2 linked regions of the Callithrix jacchus genome follow. The protein of the gene in region 2 interacts with the protein of the main gene of each other region in a biochemical or structural test. Links are inferred from orthologs where the notes say so. Each region holds a gene or a part of one and is shown on either strand. Other genes may lie near its edges.

Region 1 (3,517 bases), on a different chromosome or scaffold from region 2:
ATAGTGTAATTGCTAAGCCACAGGGTGATGCATGGATAGCAGATTTAGAGGAAGGCAGCTGAGGGGAGAGCAGGAGAAATGAAGCTCGAGAGCCTTCTGGCTGGAAAGACAGCTCACAGATGGGCCACAGCTGTAGATCAGTCCTGAACTAGGGACTGAAGCAAGTTTGTCATGAATAAAGGAAAGTGGTAGTGTTGATGTTGTGGTGAGTATATTTTCACAACGAGAACCACTGGGCAGATTTGCAGAGACTCAGCAGTGAACAGAGCAAGTCCCTGCCTCATGAAGCTCATATGCCATAAAGAAAAGAGAGGCTGGGTGCGGTGGCTCACACCTGGAATCCCAGCACTTTGGGAGGCTGAGTTGGGTGGATTGCCTGAGGTCAGGAGTTCGAAACTAGCCTGGCCAACATGATGAAACCCCATCTCTACTAAAAATATAAAAAACTAGCTGGGTGTGGTAGCAGGCGCCTGGAATCTCAGCTACTTAGGAGACTGAGGTAGGAGAATCTCTTGAACACAGGATGTGGAGGTTGCAGTGAGAACCTCTGAGCTTGGGTGACAGAGCAAGACTCCATCTCAAAAAAAAAAAAAGGTGGAGAGGAGGGGTGGTGGTTGGAAGGAGTTCTCCTTTAGGGAAGATGTCTGGGAAGGCTTCTCTGAGAGAGTGGCCTTTGAGTGGAGACCCTAGTTGGATGAGGGATGAGAGGCTGAGCTATACAAGTTATCTGGCAGAGATTACAGGCAGAGACAGTGGTACGTGCAAAGGCCTTGGGACAGGGTCACCCATGATAACAGGTTTTAAAGCTGGAACTGTGGGTGGACTGGAGTCAGACACTAATAGGGCCCAGAGAAGACACTGGTACCTGAAATCGAATTTGAGGATTTGACCATGGCCAGGAGGTTCAGGTGGCCCAGTGGGAACTCCTAAAGTGGGAACTTTCTAAAGAATGTAAGAACCAGAGTCCAGGGGTCAGTGCCAGGCCCAAGCCTATGAGGGTTCCCCGAGTTTAGGGGCTAGAGAGAGTCTGGTTGCAGTTCAGGCCCTGGACTCTGACCCTCACAGGTACACTGCCTTCCATGTTTTGTTTTGTTTTGCTTCTGAGAGTCTTGCTCTGACACCCAGGCTGAAGTGCAATGGTGTGATCCCGGCTCACTGCAACCTTCACCTCTCGGGTTGAAGCAATTCTCCTGCCTCAGCCTCCTGAGTAGCTGGGATTACAGGAACCTACCACCATGCCCTGCTAATTTTTGTATTTTTAGTAGAGACGGGGTTTCACCATGTTGGCCGGGCTGGTCTTGAACTCCTGACCTTGTTATATGCCTGCCTCGGCCTCCCAAAGTGCTGGAATTACAGATGTAAGCCACTACACCTGGCTTCTGCCATCCATCTTAACATGGCACCATGAGCCAACCTCTCAGGAAAAGGGTGTCACGAACAAATGAGGAAAGCAAGCAGAGGTAGGGCAGGGAGGGAGAGGCAGAGGAACTTGTTGGAAACGGTCGTGTCCCCTCACAGACGAGATCACCCACCTCCAGATGTGCCCACTGAGAGTTTATGAAGTGGCTGCTGCATGTATTCCTTGACTGCCCTGGGGGAGAGGTCACAAAGCTATAATGCCACTGCCTCTCGGTTTCCTCAGGAGCTTGCCCGTCAGCGAGGAGTCCTGGAGCGCACAGAGAAGATGGTGGACAAGATGGACCAAGATTTGAAGATCAGCCAGAAACACATCAATAACATTAAGAGTGTGTTTGGGGGATTTGTCAATTACTTCAAATCCAAACCAGCAGAGACCTCAGTTGAACATAATGGCACCCTCATTTCCCAGCCCAACAGCAGGTGAGTGTGTCTTCTACCATCTGGGTATAAGGGAGCAGAAGTGGGGTGTAGTGTAAATGACCAAGACTTTCACACATCCGTGCCATAAACAGATTTAGCAGCCCTTTAAGTTACTCATCGGGGGATTTGTCCTCAAACATTGTGAAACCAGGAGCTATTCTTCCCTGTTCCTATATTCATTTGTTTGACATCTAGTCTGTCAGTTGCTTCTCCAATAATTGTGACCCCACTACTCTGAAAGAGAGGGTGTTCACCTCAGAGAGCATAATCAGTACAAAGTGACTCACTTTACATAATTTTTGCTTTAAAAAGTCTTTAGGGGCTGGGTGCGGTGGCTCACATCTATAATCCCAGCACTTTGGGAGGACAAGTGGGGCGGATCGCAAGGTCAGGAGTTGACCAACATGGTGAAACGCCATCTCTACTAAAATAGAAAAAATTAGGTGGGCATGGTGGTGCACGCCTGCAATCACAGCTACTAAGCAGGCTGAGAGAGGAGAATTGCTTGAACCCAGGAGGCAGAGGTTGCAGTAAGCCAAGATTGTGCCACTGCACTCCAGCCTGGGTGACAAAGTGAGACTCTGTCCCAAAAAAAAAAAAAAAAAGAAGTCCAGTGGCTCATGCCTGTCACTCCAGCACTTTGGGAAGCCAAGGTGGGTGTATCACTTAAGCCTAGGAGTTCAAGACCAGCCTGGGCAATATAGTGGGACCCCTGTCTTTACAAAAAGTATCCAAGCATTGTGGTGGACACCAGTAATCCCAGCTACTTAGGAGGCTAAGGTAAGAGGCTCTCTTGAGGACTGGGGGTCAAGGCTGCAGTGGGCCGTGATGGTGCCACTGCACTCCAACCTGGGCTACAGACGGAGACCCTGTCTCAAAAAAAAAAAAAAGTCACGGGCCCATAGTCCTAGCTACAGGGGAGACTGAGGTAGAAGGATCGCTTTAGCCCAGGTGTTAGAGACTGGAGTGAGCTACAATGGTGCCATCGCACTACAGCCTCAGTGATAGTCTCCCTGTCAAAAAAAAAAAAAAGGCCAGATGTGATGGCTTACGCCTGTAATCCCAGCACTTTGGGAGCCAAAGTGGGTGGATCATGAGGTCAGGAGTTTGAGACCAGTCTGGCCAATATGGGGAAACCCTGTCTATACTAAAAATACAAAAAATTAGCTGGTTGTGGTGGCGTGCGCCTGTAGTCCCAGCTGCTTGGGAGGCTGAGGCAGGAGAATTGCTTGAACCCAGGAGGCAGAGGTTGCAGTAAGCCAAGATCATGCCACTGCACTCCAGCCTGGGCAACAGAGCAAGACTCCGTCTTAAAAAAAAAAAAATTAGGCCGGGCACAGTGGCTCACGCCTATAATCCCAGCACTTTGGGAGGCCGAGGCGGGTGGATCATGAGGTCAAGAGATCGAGACCATCCTGGTCAACATGGTGAAACCCCGTCTCTACTAAAAATACAAAAATTAGCTGGGCATGGTGGTGTGCGCCTGTAGTCCCAGCTACTCGGGAGGCTGAGGCAGGAGAATTGCTTGAACCCACGAGGTGGAGGCTGCATTGTCTGGGTAACAACAGCGAAACTCTGTCTTAAAAAAAAAAAAAAATTTAAAACTAAATAATTAAAAAAGTTAGAAATTGCTTTCCTCAAGTTTTGGCTCAAAATGTAATAAAAACATACATGAAAT
Region 2 (3,517 bases):
AGCTGGGATGGGTCTTGGGCAGTCCTGGGACCCTCAGTGCCAGTCTCAGAGCCCCACCGCCCTGCCTGGCAATAGGCCGCTCCCCTCACCCAGGGCCTACCTTGGCCAGCCGCGCCCGCTTGATCAGGTCATTGAGCTTCCTGAGGGCAGCGTTTCGGGGCAGAGACTGGATGTCCTTGAAGAGGTCCTGCTCCTCGGCCTCAAAGAGCTTGCGGTTGTCGGGGATGAGGAGCGGGTGGGACCAAAAGGAGCCGATGTAGACTCTGACCACCTCAGGGGTGTTGATGATCTTGCCCAGGGACCACATGAGGGCCCCGTACACCCGCATCAGCTGCTGCGTCTCGATCTGGTCTGCCTTGTTCAATACCACGCGGATCTTGTCCTCGTGGTTCTTCAGAGCCTTGATCACTTCCGAGAACTCATCAGAGATGTCCAGCTTATGGGCATCGAAGAGCAGGATGATGCGGTCCACCCGCTCGGCGAACCACTCCAGGACAGCTGCAAAGTCATAGCCTGGGGAGAGAGAAGGGAGAGCTCAGGGGCGCCAAGGGACCCGCTGCTCTGATGGTTCTCATCTCTAACCTGGCCTGGTATTTCTCAGCCTGAGATCGTTTTTGAAATTCCTAGAAGGGGCCAGCATGGTGGCTCACGCCTATAATCGCAGCACTTTGGGAGGCCGAGGTGGGCAGATCATGACGTCAAGAGATGGAGACTGTACTGGCCAACATAGTGAAACCTCGTCTCTACTAAAAATACTAAAATTAGCCGAGCGTGGTGGTGCGTGCTCGTAGAACCCAGCCACTTGACAGGCTGAGGCAGGAGAATCGTTTGAACCCAGAGACAGAGGTTGCAGTAAGCCAAGATTGCACCATTGCACTCCAGCCTGGGCAACAGAGTGAGACTCCATCTCAAAAAAAAAAAAGATTCCTAGAAGGCACTCATCTAGACGGTACAGCACCCTGAAGGCAGGATCACCTTCCCTGTTCCTGCCCCCGCCACAACACTCGCCGACCCATGTAGCACCTGCCGTAAACACGTGCTAATGCAAAAGTTGTCCCACAGTCCAAGCTCTAAAGTGGGTTGGACAAGGGCAAGAGTGAGGAGGAGACCTAGCACTGTGCTCAGCATGGCACAGAGGGTAGAACACAGACTCCAGTGTTGCCACCTGCCAGCTGTGTGCCCTGGGATGGCCGTGACAAGAGGCGCCTGCAACAGTAAGTGCTGCTGCTCCTCATTCAGTGTGGATGTGCCAGGCTTCCCAGTTTGCAGGGATCTCACTTATTTTCTGCAACAAAGGTTGGCAAACTACAGCTCCGGGATCAAACATGGCCCACCACCTGTTTATGTAAATAAAGTTTTATTGAAACAAAGCCATGCTCATTTGTATTATCCATGGCTTCTTTTGTCTGACACAGCAGAGTTCAGTCATTGTGACAGAAACTATAAGGTCTGCAAAGCTGGAAGAATTAACTATCTGACCTTACAGAAAAAGTTTGCTGACCTCTGCTCTACAAGAAAAGCAACCCAGGAAGTGCTACAAACCACTTCCCCTTCCTGGGTCTTAAATACTTCTCCAAAGAAGTGGCTGGACTGGATAGACTCCAGCTTTAAGCTCTACAGTCTTTCTTTGGTTTTTAATTTTATATTCATTTTTTCAGAGACAGGGTTTTGCTCTGTCACTGGGGCTGAAGCACAGTGGCACAGTCTTGGCTCACTGTAACCTTGAACTCCTGGGCCCAAGCCACCCCCCACCTTAGAGTCCTGAGTAGCTGGGACTACAGGCATGTGCCACCATGTCTAGCAAATTGTTAAATTTTTATTTTGTAGAGGTGGGGGTCTCATTAAGTTGTCTACGCTGAACTCCTGGGCTCAAGAGAGCCTCCCACCTCAGCCTCCCAAAGTTCTGGGAAGACAGACCTGGGCCAGCATGCCTGGATTCTAAACTCTATTCTATATTGCTTCCTACCAACCTGTTACGGCCCAGTGAAGGCCCAGCAATTAAAGTGAACTCTGTCGCCTGTGGCAGACTGCTCGTTGGAATTCCATCTAAAGGAGGAACTAGACATAACTATCTAGTTTCAGCTGGATTCGTGGCCTCGCAGCTTGAGACTGCATTTCCCAGCATCCCTTGCAGCAGAAAAGAACAAGAAAAGGTGCATGAGCCCTTTGTTGTCTTCTCCCTCCTGAGGACTGGGACGCAGGCGTGATGGGAGGAGCCGGAGCAAGCACCCCGTGTTCAGAGATGAAAGCTGCATGTTCAGAATGGCCTTGGACTATTGCTTTTCACATAGACTATCAGATATCTGACTTAAGCCAGTGAGTTTTGGGTTCTGTAACCGAGGTTTAATTGGAATCCTGTTTGACAACCAGGCCTCTTCAAAAATATTTCCACTTCGGCCTGGGCAACATGGTGAAATCCCATCTCTACAAAGGTGGTGCAGGCCTGTAGTCCCAGCTACTTGGGAGGCTAAGGCAGGAGGATAACCTGCACCCAGGAGGTTGAGGCTGCAGTGAGCCACGATCACGCCACTGCACTCCAGCCTGGGTGACACAGTGAGACCACCTCAAAAACAAAACAGAACAGCCAGGTGCGGTGGCGCACACCTGTAATCCCAGCACTTTGGGAGGTTGAGGCAGGTGGATCATGAGGTCAAAAGTTCAAGATCCAGCCTGGCCAAGATGGTGAAACCCCTTCTCTACTAAAAATACAAAAAATTAGCTGGGCATGGTGGCACATCCCTGTAGTCCCAGCTACTAGGAAGGCTGAGGTAGGAGAACTGCTTGAAGCCAGGAGGTGGAGGTTGTAGTGAGCCAAGACTGCACCACTGAGCTCTAGCCTGGCGACAGAGCAAGACTCCTTCTCAAAAAACAAAACAAAACAAAAAAATCCACACCTCTTCCTCTGCCCCTAGAGTAAAACTTCTCTGTCCCTCATGGTCTAGGAAGAGTAAGGAGTGACAGGCAGGCTGTGTTGAAACAAAGGCCTGGAGTCCTGGAGAGGGGCCACATCCTCTCTGGCTGATTCTGGGCCAGCCTCCGTGTCCCTGGCTCAGTGGCTCAGTCTTCCCACATGTCTCAGGTCACCCAAATGTAGGCCAGCCCTCTTCAGAAGCACCAAGTACTTCCCAGAGAGCAGCCAGGCTCTGGAAATGAGCTGGAGAAGCCACTCCTGCACGGGACAGTCAGGATTGCCCAACTCAGACCCAAACCCTTTCTCACCCCCACAGCCTGCTCCCAGCATCTCCGTGAAAAACACTCACCACCCCCTCACCAAACTGGGGATGGAGACAGGCGCTCTCTAGACTGAGAGGGACAGAAAAGCAGCAGCGAGGCAGGAGCTCCAGGGACAAAGCATCAAGGAAAAGTGGCATCTGGGCAAGGTCACTCACAGTGATGGGAGGCCAGCCCTGCCATCCCCAGTGGGAACCTGCTGCTGACTGTTCCACTGCATGGGGCCCCCTTGGTGGCATCCACTGCTCCCACCCTGTGAAGCCCTCCAGGGGGAAGGCAGGTCCAC

The links.
Region 1: the proteins of EHD1 (region 2) and SNAP29 form a complex in vitro, tested with the Homo sapiens proteins (2 studies listed by BioGRID). The link is inferred for Callithrix jacchus from reciprocal best matches to the Homo sapiens genes EHD1 and SNAP29.

The regions. Positions count from the first base shown.
Region 1 is NC_133502.1:193,253,539-193,257,055, reverse strand, and holds part of SNAP29 (synaptosomal-associated protein 29), read left to right. Parts: intron 1-1,642; coding exon 1,643-1,839; intron 1,840-3,517. UniProt on the Homo sapiens protein: SNAREs, soluble N-ethylmaleimide-sensitive factor-attachment protein receptors, are essential proteins for fusion of cellular membranes.
Region 2 is NC_133511.1:121,931,796-121,935,312, forward strand, and holds part of EHD1 (EH domain-containing protein 1), read right to left. Parts: intron 514-3,517; coding exon 101-513; intron 1-100. UniProt on the Homo sapiens protein: ATP- and membrane-binding protein that controls membrane reorganization/tubulation upon ATP hydrolysis. In vitro causes vesiculation of endocytic membranes. Acts in early endocytic membrane fusion and membrane trafficking of recycling endosomes.